Linked DNA regions of Lytechinus pictus. The protein of the gene in region 1 purifies or fractionates together with the protein of each later gene. This does not show direct contact. Links are inferred from orthologs where the notes say so. Each region holds a gene or a part of one and is shown on either strand. Other genes may lie near its edges.

The links. The genes of interacting proteins can lie anywhere in the genome.
Region 2: the proteins of sodium-coupled neutral amino acid transporter 9 homolog (region 1) and ragulator complex protein LAMTOR5-like purify together in Homo sapiens (co-immunoprecipitation; 5 studies listed by BioGRID and IntAct, with this or other methods). This does not show direct contact. The link is inferred for Lytechinus pictus from reciprocal best matches to the Homo sapiens genes SLC38A9 and LAMTOR5.

Annotation. Positions count from the first base shown.
Region 1 is NC_087255.1:21,677,597-21,684,862, forward strand, and holds the start of sodium-coupled neutral amino acid transporter 9 homolog, read right to left. Parts: upstream 3,065-7,266; 5' UTR 2,941-3,064; coding exon 2,855-2,940; exon of another isoform or gene 2,811-2,854; intron 429-2,810; coding exon 345-428; intron 1-344. Other genes in the region: cyanocobalamin reductase / alkylcobalamin dealkylase-like, read left to right, coding at 3,264-3,338.
Region 2 is NC_087247.1:51,474,622-51,482,407, reverse strand, and holds the start of ragulator complex protein LAMTOR5-like, read left to right. Parts: upstream 1-4,760; 5' UTR 4,761-4,882; coding exon 4,883-4,917; intron 4,918-7,387; coding exon 7,388-7,449; intron 7,450-7,786. UniProt on the Homo sapiens protein: As part of the Ragulator complex it is involved in amino acid sensing and activation of mTORC1, a signaling complex promoting cell growth in response to growth factors, energy levels, and amino acids.

The sequences.
Region 1 (7,266 bases):
GCTTGTTTGATTTATCTCTTTTTATTCAAATCAATTTTTTGTCGGGGTAGACTTGTCCTTTAAATAAAAATAAATATACAGGTACTTTAAAAATATGAATAAAAACACTCTTTAGATTTCAATAAATATAATTATAGGAAAAATCCATTCATTTATTGGTTTGTTGGTTTTGATGAGTTGAAGAATGAGATGGGCAAAGTAGCCCACTTCAGTTCAGTTTATTTGCATCTACTCCAGTTTCTTTTTTAATCCCCTTTGATTGATGCTTGATTGACAATTTTAGTTGAACATAATTTTCTACCCCTAAATTCACATTTACACACCCTTTTGGTGTTTGGACTCACCTTCTTTTCTTCTCTGTCCCAGTCAAACTAGCTCCACTGAGATTACTACTCCCAGAGATGGGACTCTCTCGTAGTAAACTCACACTAGAAAGAACAAATCGACATATAAAAATATCAGCAAAATAATTCATTAACAAATAAAAGCAGATGTAGAGCTTTACAGAACTGAAGTGAAAGGGCAGGTCATAATTATAAAGGGCATCCAAAACAAACAAAACTGAAAACCATCAATGATTTATCATAACTTAATCACAAATAAAATTTAGACAAATTCAAAAAAAGTTAGAATTTTTTTTTTCACCTGGTATAAAGTTTAGATTCCTAATTCATGCACGAGTGAGTAAAAACAATATGAAGAAAGGATTCCCAAAGAAGTCACTTGGTGGGTAGCATCTGAATTACAAGAGAAAATCACTGAAAGCTTAATGTATTTGTTCTTTAATCTTTGATGAAAGGAAAAAAATCATGGCATGCAACGATCATATTTTAAAAACGTCTAGAACTATGTGAACTATATTGTACACGATATCGTCGGCTGGTAGGCTAGCGTTTGCATGGTCGCATCCGAACAATACATGTACGTGTACGTACATGTACGACGCTATTTGCCCCCTTTTCGATCCCATGATCCTTTGCATGAAGCTAATTACGTTTAGGTCTTGGATTATCCGATTAGATTAGACTTTGTCATTTAAATTTTGCATTTTTGCTCTTAAGTTTTTGTGCCTTGTGGTACATTTTGACATTTCAGTTTTTTCAGACAGAAAATAACAGTAGAGGCGCTGGTCAAAAAAGTGGGATTGTCCCAGTTTTCAAAGATTTCTCCACACAAGAAATCTATGAAAGTTCATTTACCTGTCAAGTGCTGACATCAACTAAGTGCGTTAGTCAATGTAAACATACTATTGTTAGGTTTCATAACAAGATTGGCAAGTCGTGAAAAAAAGATGGTGAACTGGAGGGAATTGAGGTCATTGAATCCATTTTTAGCACTCTCAATCCCGGTAATTGCCGTCTATGTCCCGCAGGGGTAAGTGAAAAAAAAAACGTCCCCATAAATCATGTCTTGAGAAACTGAGATTGTCCTTGTTTATGGGGCCCCATAAACAAGGACATTCCAGTTTCTCAAGACATGATTTGTCCTGGTTTATGAGGATATGTTTTCTGGGACAATCACAATTTTTGGACCAGCACCTCTAGCCTACTAGCCAGGAGGCTCCGAGAGAGTAAAAATCACTCACTAATGTATGCTTTCTCTCACGGAGCCAGGAATTGCGTCCCATTCAAGTGCGTGTACCGCAAAAAAAATGAAAATTTTGCCTCCGAGATTTCTACTTTCCTTCCAAAAGATAAATCATGTATGTAAATGGCTACTTCGTCTTTGTTTCATACATTTCTACAATATTGATTTAATTTTTAAACAAGAATTCATTTAAAAAAAAGAGAAAAATATGAAAGAGACAGGGAAAAATTGCCGCGATGTTTATGTCGCCATCTTTCTTTGTTTTTCGCCAAAGCAAAAGCTTTGGCGAGATATACCGGTACGGTATGATGGGGTGTCCAAACTTCGCTCACTTTTCAAAAATATTCATCAGGCTTAAATTTTTTCACAAAATATTCATAATTTATACAAAACCAATTTAAAAAATAGTTACCACATTGACGGCAAGATCGTAAACTATAAAATCATGGACGAAAACGTAAAGTAGGTCAAGGGGATTCGCCGGTATCGCGATCTCAAAATTCTATTCCGATCGGCGAATGCGCGCTGTGCTGGATAACCGTTCAGAAAAAGTGTGACCTAACTTCGCGGACCAAAGTTTTTGTGGACATTTAAGCAAAAACTCAAGCTCAAAAAGTGAAATATTTATATCAGATTGATGGCAAAATGCTATAGAATCGGTTAGTACCACATTTTAACTCAAATTTTTGATGATTTCTGCTTGCAAAATAGTGATATCGTGATGCTTGTTGAGAATATCAGATTTCTTCAAAACGGGCGCTAAACGTGACAAATTTGCCGATCTTTTGCCAATATTTTCATGAATACTGAACTCATCCTAAAGAAACTTACACCAAAGGGTAATTTTAGGTCGCTTTTCACGTTGATGATGTCAGATTTTAAGGATATTGGCTAGTTTTTTAGATAATGACCGTCCGCGAAGTATGGACACGCGCGAAGTTTGGACTCACTGCCATACAAGTCATAGCCTACTTGGCTACTGTCTCAGTGTCTGAATATAGATAAACTATTTCACATTTTCAGTGTTTTCACCCTTCTCTTCTTTTCATTACATGTAGCCTATAACGTTTGCTTTCTTGCATCGTCGCTTGCTTTGAGTTGGAGTCTATTGCCTGCCTAACAAGGCCAGCATTGCCATACTTGACTGGGCGTCTGGTCGGTCGGGCGCCGCTCGCGCTCCCGATCCCGTACGTACCGTACGCGTTAGGCTGGAATTCTACTCTATCTAAATTGGGTTCTCTGACGAGATCGCGAGATCTTGACTCACCTTCCTTTTCTACCCTCTGTTCCATTTAAAAGTGGTGCCTTCTCGCCGGTTTCATTATCCCTCGGAGTACCTGATCGAAAAGACATCCTTTCTTCTTTTGAAAATACAACCAGAATCAATAAGACACGGCAATATTCCGATTTATTTATCAAACATTTCTCCCTTGACTCGGACTTCGTCTTGACTTTGGTTTGACGGCTCTCGCAATAGTCGCATCACCCGACTTGCTTTTATCACATGACCTGTCACATGACGTGTTCATACAGTCAGTCCCATAGGCATAGCTATACTCTATAGAGATATATCTCTATGGTCAGTCCTCACCATAGAGATACCGTACGAGGTCCTGCACCCCATATAGATATCTCTATGACTTTATGCCTACTATGGTCCTCGCTCGCATACAGTCATGTCAGCGGACTTTATTTCCGAAAAACTCCGAAATGTTCTGGAACCAAATGGTTTTGAGATTCACCCTTTCAAGGTAACTTAGGCTTAAATATTCCTCGGAATTCGACACAAAAGTATCGACTAAGAGTAAGACCTAAGTAATTGTATTGTATTCATGGTATTGGAATAATGTCTGAAGCTTGCTAAACTAAGATTAAGAAGTTAGTAAACTTTTTAATTTTAGTTAGGCCTAGACCGATGCCGGGGACCGATGACATGTGCATCGGTTGCTGTTTGGTCTTTGGCCGGTCTTTGGATAATTCACTCTGCTGCTCAAATTGTATCTGATTCGTGTATATTACTGTCTGACTGTTGTGTAATTTTATCCTTGTACACCCCATTATAAAATATTGGGGTTTGGGAAGGATCGTTGATTCGTTAATCGTTGATAAACTGAACTGAAACTCAAAAACTATAGTCTATACATCCCAAGACCACTACTTACTTTTGTTTGGAAAAAAGTGTTTGTGTGGGCTTTGGCTCAAGTCTAAGACTAAACTTAAGTATTGTAATTCTTGCATGCGCATGAAAAAAGATGAAAAAGGACCAATCTCTCTTTCTTTTGTGTCCTTCCTCTGTTAAGGTCGGAGATTGTTGATAACAGCTAACTGAAGACAAATCTATCTGTGATTTGATTTTAATTTCTAATTTTAGGAGAAACATTTTTAATCAATTTTTTTTTAGATAAGAAAAATTTGCAATTTTTCTTGTATTTATTGAGGATTGAACAATGGTGACTTATGTTATATGATGTGTAGGACAGAGATCTATACTTTAATCAATTTTTTATATTACAAAATAAGAAAATGGACAATCAGCCTGTCCAACATTAATTAGTTACATGTACCCTTATAATATAGATGGGCTGGATGCTGATCGGTATTTTATAGATGGCAAATATAGCGATCTTCAACGCTTATATATAAGCGTCGAAATTTGTAGCCATCTCCTTGTATTAGTCTATAATATACGACGTGTCAAATTGTAGCGAACTAGTTCGCTATTTCCAGATCTCCTCTATATATATATACGAGGGGGAATTGTAGCGAACTAGTTCGCTATTTTCTAGATCTCCTCTATATACAAACGACGAGAAATTGTAGCGAACTAGTTCGCTATTTTTCGGATCTCCTCGATATATATACACGAGGGGGAATTGTAGCGAACTAGTTCGCTATTTTCCAGATCTCCTCTAGATACATACTACGGGATTTGTAGCGAACTAGTTCGCTATTTTTCGGATTTCCTCTATATATATATATACGACGGGAAATTGTAGCGAACTAGTTCGCTATTTTCCAGATCTCCTCTATATATATATACGACGGGAAATTGTAGCGAACAAGTTCGCTATTTTTCGGATCTCTTCTTTTGTAGCGAACTAGTTCGCTATTTTTCGGATCTCCTCTATATACGACGGAAAATTGTAGCGAACTAGTTCGCTATTTTTCGGATCTCCTCGATATATACACGAGGGGGAATTGTAGCGAACTAGTTCGCTATTTTCCAGATCTCCTCTAGATACATACTACGGGATTTGTTCGCTATTTTTCAAATTTCCTCTATATATATATACGACGGGAAATTGTAGTGAACTAGTTCGCTATTTCCAGATATCCTCTATATATATATACGAGGGGGAATTGTAGCGAACTAGTTCGCTATTTTCTAGATCTCCTCTATATACAAACGACGGGAAATTGTAGCGAACTAGTTCGCTTTTTTTCGGATCTCCTCGATATATACACGAGGAGGAATTGTAGCGAACTAGTTCGCTATTTTCCAGATCTCCTCTATATATATATACGACGGGAAATTGTAGCGAACTAGTTCGCTATTTTCCAGATCTCCTCTATATATATATACGACGGGAAATTGTAGCGAACTAGTTCGCTATTTTTCGGATCTCTTCTTTTGTAGCGAACTAGTTCGCTATTTTTCGGATCTCCTCTATATACGACGGAAAATTGTAGCGAACTAGTTCGCTATTTTTCGGATCTCCTCGATATATACACGAGGGGGAATTGTAGCGAACTAGTTCGCTATTTTCCAGATCTCCTCTAGATACATACTACGGGATTTGTTCGCTATTTTTCAAATTTCCTCTATATATATATACGACGGGAAATTGTAGCGAACTAGTTCGCTATTTCCAGATATCCTCTATATATATATACGAGGGGGAATTGTAGCGAACTAGTTCGCTATTTTCTAGATCTCCTCTATATACAAACGACGGGAAATTGTAGCGAACTAGTTCGCTATTTTTCGGATCTCCTCGATATATACACGAGGGGGAATTGTAGCGAACTAGTTCGCTATTTTCCAGATCTCCTCTATATATATATACGACGGGAAATTGTAGCGAACTAGTTCGCTATTTTCCAGATCTCCTCTATATATATATACGACGGGAAATTGTAGCGAACTAGTTCGCTATTTTCCAGATCTCCTCTAGATACATACTACGGGATTTGTAGCGAACTAGTTCGCTATTTTTCGGATTTCCTCTATATATACACGAGGGGGAATTGTAGCGAACTAGTTCGCTATTTTCCAGATCTCCTCTATATATATATACGACGGAAAATTGTAGCGAACTAGTTCGCTATTTTTCGGATCTTCTTTATAAAATTTTATACACGAGGAGGAATTGTAGTGAACTAGTTCGCTATTTTTCTAATCTTTATATATACAAGAGACGGAATTGTAGCGAACTAGTTCGCTACAATTCCCCCTCGTGTATATAATTTTATAGAGGAGATCCGAAAAGTAGCGAACTAGTTCGCTACAAAGCCCGTCGTATGGATATAGAGGAGATCTGGAAAATAGCGAACTAGTCTGCTACAATTTGACAATATGGCATCAATATATACAGCCAAAACCTGCAGATTTTCACTTTGAAGCCTTCACAATAATGTAAGCTTTGGAAAAAATGACAACTAGTTCGCTACAATTTCCCCCTCGTGTATATGAAGAGATCAGAAAAATTGCCATCTAGTTCGCTACAGTTTGCCATGTTTATATTTTAGAGAGGAGATGAGAAATGGCGAACAAGTTTGCAACAATTTCCTGTCGTATACATGTGGAGGAGATCCGAAAAATAGCGAACTACATGTAGTTTGCTACAATTCCCCCCTGGTGTATATATAGAGGAGATCCAAAAAAATAGCGAACTAGTTCGCTACAATGCCCCCTCATATATAGTTCGCTACAAATCCCGTCGTATGTATATAGAGGGGATCTGGAAAAATAAAAAAATAGCGAACTAGTTCGCTACAATTCCCCCTCGTGTACATATCGAGGAGATCCGAAAAATAGCGAACTAGTTCGCTACAAATCCCGTAGTATGTATATAGAGGAGATCTGGAAAATAGCGAACTAGTTCGCTACAATTCCCCTCGTGTATATATCGAGGAGATCCGAAAAATAGCGAACTAGTTCGCTACAATTTCCCGTCGTTTGTATATAGAGGAGATCTGGAAAATAGCGAACTAGTTCGCTACAATTCCCCCTCGTATATATATATATATATATAGAGGAGATCTGGAAATAGCGAACTAGTTCGCTACAATTTGACACGTCGTATATTATAGACTAATACAAGGAGATGGCTACAAATTTCGACGCTTATATATAAGCGTTGAAGATCGCTATATTTGCCATCTTATTATTTCCCGATGCTGATTCTTCATCTTTTTTTTTTTTTTGATAACTTTGTTAGAGTATGGTAGTGGATCGTATTACCGAACACTTTTCATGAATTCAATCATATCAAGCACATTATTCTCATAAAATTCACCAAACTTTCACCATAAATACACAATTACCTACAAAATATAAATATGTAAAATTTTTGCCGAAATAGTTTTTCCTTTTTACGATTTTTGCTTCCAATCGGACCCCTCTTCGCATGTGAAATATTTTGGTCACTTGAAAAAGGTATCGTATTACCGAACGTG
Region 2 (7,786 bases), on another chromosome or scaffold:
CAATTTTTACAGATTTGACAATAAGGACCAGCTTGACTGAACCATATAATGTTAAACAATGGTGATTCCACATGTTCAGTGAGAAATAAAACTTTGTTTTACAGGACAATGGGGAGAAAATTAGAATATTTCATATTTATTAAAATAAAATACAAAAGAAAAAGTGAGTGAGTGATGTCATCATTTCCCTCTTTTGCATTCCGACCGGGATGAGCATATAACTATTGTGTGAAATAAAGCAAAAGTGAAAAATTTCATAACTTTCTTATTTTGCATCCGATTTTGATGAAATTTTGAGTGTTATGCTCGTTTGGTTTTTCTCTTTTTATTAAAATCAACTTTGTTTCGGACTTGACCTTAAACGAAATTAGTGAATCCCATTATTCAGCAATACATTTTCTGAAAACACAAGTCATGACTAACAAACTGCCTGCATGCCGTCATGAATTTCTAATAGGTGGGCTGTATAAGTTTTAGCAGTGATGATCTTATACATCAGAACAGTAGTCAATCCTATCAGCATGATCCATTACTTCTTGCCGATAACTACAGTACTTGTATAACTAAACATGATTATTCTAGAATATGAATTTATTCCTAAACCCGACTTTAACATTGACTTGTATTTCAAATACTTGTGTATTGTACATTTTTGAGTGAACCATGTATACCTGAGTTGGAATTATTTCCTCATGTTGACATGTTTTCATCATATTTTGTTTTGTTCTGTGTATATACATGTGTGTATAAACCAGTGAAAAAAGAATTTCCTTTATGGACAATAAAGTTATTCTATTCAGTTCAGTTCAATTATATTTTTACATTCTTATCGATGGTGAATAAACATTATTTCACATAATAAAGTACAAAAGAATAAGTGTGTGTGTAGGGGGGGGGGGTGAAATCCATCAGCTCGATTAGTACATAATTATTCATGATGACATGTATAATGCTAAACATTAAAATGGCTTAACATTATTGCTCCATGTCAAATTTAAAGAAAATTTAGTGTGGAGTTTGGTTTTCTGGCTAGAATATATACCCCTTTAATGAATTAGATTGTAATTACTTATTTTTTTTGTAGTGTTCTGTTTTGTCGTAGAGAATATATACCGAAGGATAGAAAATCATTATGATGTATTATATAATTATTAAAGATATCATAACTAAATTTATCCTAACTAATATCATATCAATCATATGAAATAATTATAAGTCCAAAACACCATCGATAGTCTCATCTGATGTCACAATTTACGGCGTATTGCGTCACTCATTATAGGGAGTTATGGCAATCGCTATGCAGAACAGTATCTGGAACGGGGAGAATCTATTGTCAAATGCCCTTCATTACAATGAAGTCTTTATCGAAAGTCGGTGAATTGAAACAACAGTTTCGTCCGTGACATCGACATCGGACAAAATGACATATTTGCCTTTTTGTCAGCTCCAAAACGTCGGACCATACTACTGTTCCGATTCACCAATTTTCAAAACAAACTATATTACCAGTAAGGTGATAATTGTGTTGAATTATTGAAAAATAAATATCTTGCCACAGTATATACTGCATTCGTTGTAATTTATATTGTGTGTGAAGAGTCTTATTGTATATTTCTACAATGTACTTTGGTTCAGTCTGTACAGTGATAACTGCTGTTGCTACTAATTTCTTCCCAAATCTTCAAGTTTTTAGTTTATTTCACCAATCATAAAAAATACAAAGAAAATAATTCTGCAAATACAATACAAGCAATCAGTGGAAGATTTTTTTATTCCTATAGGAAATAATTGTATTTGTGAATGAGGGCCCAACATGACCGTATAACACATTAAAAGTAAAATGAATCATTTATTAGATAGTATAAGAAAACAAGGGGGAGTTGACTTGGCTGGTCGTCATTACATACACACGCTACCCCCTGCATCTTACACATCTAAAAATTGGGGGGAAAACAACTGAGAGAAAGAAGATGTTAAAAAAAGATACTGTTAGAAAGGAGGGAAGGCGAGAAAGTGAGTGAAATGGGGAAAGATAGATAGAAAGAGAGAAGAGAGGGAGCGGAAGGGGGGGGGGGGGGGCGGGGAGATAGACTCGGATCGGAGAGAACAGAAAATTTAACAATTTCATGCATGTTTATTATTGGATTGAAGCTCGTTGCTCAGTGAATGTCACTTCGACATCATGACTTGTATATCGTCAGGTGTTTTCCTTAAAGGGGTACTTCGGGCTGAAAATGATAGAGTAAAATTCATCAAGCAAACAAGTTCTGAAAATTTCATCAAAATCTGATTACAAATAATAAAATTATAGAATTTCAAAATTTAGCAATATTTTGTAAAAGAGTTATATGCACATTCATTAGGTGTCATAGCCACACTTCATTTTTGTCTCACCTGCATAGCAGAGTGAGACTATAGGCGCCGCTTTTCCGACGGCGGCGGCGGCGGCGTCAACACCAAATCTTAACCTGAGGTTAAGTTTTTGAAATGACAGCATAACTTAGAAAGTATATGGACCTAGTTCATGAAACTTGGCCATAAGGTTAATCAAGTATTACTAAACATCCTGCCTGAGTTTCATGTCACATGACCAAGGTCAAAGGTCATTTAGGGTCAATGAACTTAGACCATGTTGGGGGAATCAACATCAAAATCTTAACCTAAGGTTAAGTTTTTGAAATGTCATCATAACTTAGAAAATATATGGACCTAGTTCATGAAACTTATACATAAGGTTAATCAAGTATCACTGAACATCCTGCATGAGTTTCACATCACATGACCAAGGTCAAAGGTCATTTAGGGTCAATGAACTTTGGCCGAATTGGGGGTATCTGTTGAATTACCATCATAACTTTGAAAGTTTATGGATCTGATTCATGAAACTTGGACATACTAGTAATCAAGTATTACTGAACATCCTGTGCAAGTTTCAGGTCACATGATCAAGGTCAAAGGTCATTTAGGGTCAATGAACTTTGGCCAAATTGGGGTATTTGTTGAATTACAGCCATAAATTTGAAAGTGTGTTGGTCTAGTTCATAGAACTTGGACATAATAGTAATCAAGTATCACTGAACATCCTGTGCGAGTTTCAGGTCACATGATCAAGGTCAAAGGTCATGTAAGGTCAAAGAACTTTGGCCACGTTGGGGGTACTTGTTGAATTGCCATCATATCTCTATAAGTGTATTGGTCTAGTTCATAAAACGTGGAAATAAGAGTAACCAAGTATCACTGAACATCTTGTGCGAGTTATAGTAGTTTTCAAAATCAGCACTGCTGCTATATTGAATCGCGTGATGCAGGTGAGACGGCCAGAGGCATTCCACTTGTCTTATGTTATTATTACATGAAATCATAATAACTTCATATTTTCATGCATGTGTGTATGATTATGTTCACCACATAATAAAGTCAGTTGCAGCAATGAGTATTTAATGCGTTAAACCAGTTTTTAATCCAATTTTTTTAGTTCTTGTGGTACAAAATATGAATGAACACATTTTCATGTAATAAAATACAAAGAACAGATGGGGATATCACATCATCGGTTTCCTCATTGTATATTAAAGGTCAAGTCCACCCTAGGAAAATGCTGTCTTGAATAAATAGAGAAAATCTAACTAGCATAGTGCTGAAAATTTCATCAAAATCGGATGTAAAACAAGAAAGTTATGACATTTCAAAGTTTCGCTTATTTTTCACAAAACAGTGATATGCACAACTTGGTGAGTCAGTCGATGATGTCCTTCACTCACTTTTTCTTTTGTTCTTTATTGTTTGAATTATACAATATTTCATTTTTTATAGATTTGACCATAAGGACCAACTTGAATGAACCATATAGTATTGAACAATATGCTAATTCCACATGTTCAGGGAGGAATTAATAGTTGTATCACTTGACAATGAGGAACAAATTAGAATATTTCATATAATAAAATACAAAAGAAATAGTTAGTGGATGACATCATAGTCTCCTCATTTGCATACCAGCCAGGATGTGCATATAACTGTTTTGTGAAATTAAGCGAAACTTTAAAATGTCATAACTTTCTTATTTTACATCCGATTTTGATGAAATTTTCAGTGTTATGCTTGTTGGAGTTTTCTCTTTTTATTCAAATCAACTCTTTGTTGGGGTGGACTTGTCCTTTAATGAAGACATGCGCTTTAGGACTAGCTGTGATATAATGCAAATCTGTAATAACTTCGTTATTCCTTGTCCGATTTTGATCATATTTTCAGTGCTGTGTTTGTCTGATTTTTCTTTATCTGTTCATATCATTATTTTCACCCCGGAATACCACTTTCTTTGTCAGTTTTCTTGTGTGTGGCCAAAAAGGATGACAAACTTAGGTGTTTTTTTTTGTGAATTTTTTCTCAACGCCCCTTCGATGCGCTAGAGCAAGATAGAGTTGATAGGCTACCCGATTCTTCTTCTTCTTCATTTTTTTTTTTTTTTTTTTGGGGGGGGGGGCAAATTAATAGAAACACCTTTAAAAAATATGGATTCGAGCATCGAGGCTGGTGCTCCGTTCGGCGCAGGAGCTGGCCCCGGCCGCCCCCCCCCCCCCCCCTTCATCGAAACGTATTATGGTGCTCTGTTCTCTGTTGTTGTTTTTTTAGACTACCTGATAAAAATGAAAATTATATGGCTATAAATCCTCGGTACCAGGTACAGAAAATACAGATAGACTTCTGTAGATACCATCTTTTTTTTTTAATTTAAGTGCAAATTTTGGTCTGTACCCGCAGACTACGAATATAGGGACAGCTGCACGGTCGATCACATGATATTCCGCGGTCACATGACAAAGTAGAACATGTATCAATAAATCGTGATCCGTCTGAAATTGAAAACTCTCTTTAAAAAATGGAACAAAATCTCGACAAACTTTTAGACGACACGTGAGTATTTAACTTGATTTAATACTGTATAGTATTACTATATAGTAATTTTTCTTAAATTGTGAGGGAGACTCAATTTTTCGAGGTCGTATGCGGGGATATTTACATGGAAATTATAGTTTATACCAGTCCCGTGCGTTCAATTTCATGTAAAGCAGTAAGCTTCTATGTTCTAGTTTTTGTTCACTCACGCGTATTGCGAGGTTAGTATTAGTATACTAGCCTCGCACCACGAACCGCGTTTGGCAGTGGATTTCTAACTAGTGGGTCGCGCGTGCTGGGATCTCACTTCTTGGGTCCACAACACACGACTTCTATGGCTTGATTTTTCTGTGCGCGGCGGCATGTAATGAACCCTTGGGTGGTTTTTGTTCGAAATTATGTTTTTGTTTTGCTGACGGCAGAAATCAAGGGAGTTAAGGTCCTTGTTTGTTCATGTGATTACGAGTCCAAGAATTATAGGCTTATAGCTCCATGATAAAAGTACTAGCCACTCACTCATGCTATTATTTATTAACGTAGTAAAAATCCTCAGACTCAATTTCATTCAGTTGATATTTGGTTAACAAGAACAACGATTTGGTTAGCTCATGTAGCTTCATAATTACGGAAAACATAGACCCCTATCAGACAAAGAGATATTAAAAAATGAACAGGTATGACTTCATTTTGGACATTTACAAATCTTAAGCCTGTGAACACTCATTTAATGAACCAATTCAATGAACAAGGTTATGATATAACCTGTGAATAAAGAAATCATAGGCCCAATTAGATCTATAAAATATCTGGATGTGGAAAAAAATGAAGTTTTCAGAACTTTGCTTAGCAAATTCTGAAAGATACTTACTCCTAAGCAGTGCTTAGGAGCAAGTACATGTATCTTTCGGGCAAGTTGGGTTTAGATGTATGTAACTCACACTAAATGCGAGGTTAGTGTGCATTTCATTAATATTGTACAAACATTTTCTTTTGCTCATATCTGAACCTGTATTGTTTTTTCCTTTTTTAAAAATATTCCTTAAATTTTAAACCCATCAGTTTCAGTTTGCAGATTAATTATTTCTCCAGATTTACACTGCATCCCACAAAAAAGGAAAATGGGTTCCCCACATCATTTTTCTTCAAGGGCAAATTAATTATGTTCCATTTATGTCATCATACAATCAATCATTCCTCTACATTTTTATACCTAATATGTGACAAACACTTTGCGCATTAATAAGCAAGATGAGTTTGAAATTTTAATGTAAAAATCAGGTTGTGCAGAAAAATTGGACAAGATTGGTTCGTGTACGACAACCATGCTTATTCGATAATTGACTCGTTAGCATTTCTTTCGGATTCTTTGTGAAGTTTCTTTCACTGATCCCTGAAGAGTCTATTCGGATTTTTACGTGAGTTTCTGCGCAAATTGTTTCTTAAAGACCTTAATATTGTTTTTTACCCACCATGCGTGATTTGCTATGCTGTTGGTCTCAAATTAAAGATGAGATTCCACTCCTACCATAAGTATCAAATTTATAGTTAAAACATATTTAATAATTGTGAAATTTATATCTGGAAATGGGTTTCCTCTACTGTTGGACGCAGTTGCACTGTGAGTGCGTATATATATATATCTTTCTACATCTGCATTTAAGGCAAATTATTTGTCTTCTTTCAATGTTCGCAATGCGCCTTAACGCCCTCTACCTTTGACTTAAAGTCTAAATGTGTATTATAACGGAATAAACCCATTCATAGACTTCGCCCTTACACAGTTGAGGCCAAAAGTTTACATACACCCATGGAATTCATTGAAATTCGTTCACTTGCCAAAAATCGTAAAATTTACTATATATTCAGAAATATAAATACTACCATGACAAATTTGGTATCAAATAAAAGATAAAAGAGTGTGTTAAGCTCTTTCACATGATTGGGATGCAGTTGGAATTAAAGTGTATTTCAGGTGGAATTTTCTTTGAAGAAAAAAAGTAATATTCGTGCCAAATGTGTTCTATTGTTTGATATTATATTTTCAAACATTGTTTCATAAAAATATATAAATGTCAAATCTATGATTTATATTACATTTTCTGTCATGATGTGTCACCACTGAACAAAAAAGTGTAATCTGAAATGTTTGTGTTGAGAAGAAACTAGCACAGGTATGAAATGTTTTTGTCAAGTTTTCATTCTAATTTATCTAATTTATGAAGATTCTTTGGGAAAAAAATTACACCTAAATATTCATCAGCTCCTGATGACAAAGCAATGTGATGAAGGGGCATTAAATACTCATTTGTTTTATATCAAATTTATCATGATAGCACAAATATTTTATAAGATACAGTAAGTTTTTGAGTTACTTCAGTGAAATTGTTGTTGCCTCATAGTTGTTTATTGATGTCAGGGAACTATTAGATTTTGGCAACCAGCATAAATTTCAATATATTTGTCATGTCTATTTTCCTATTTTTCTTAGAATGGATGCCCCTGGAGTTATGGGAGTTCTTTGTGCTGACAAACAGGGACTTTGTTACAGTGGTAAGTATGGTCCAACATTAAACTTTGTGGGAGACAATTATGATGTGATACACGGAGAGTTCAACAGGGGGGGGGGGGGGTGAGAATGAAATTATATAAAATTATATTTTTATCCTCTATGGATGAGGAAAAAATGGATTGACAACTGATTTATTGTATCAGAAAATCCTTGCTGCTACATATTTTTTACAAGGTAGTACACACATGTATGAAAATATGAAGTATGGTTTAATTTCATGTAATGATGTAAGAGAAGGGAATGTTGGGACATGACATCATCAGCTCGCCTGTTGCATATTCATGACAGCATGTAGATAACTGTTTTCACAAACTATTG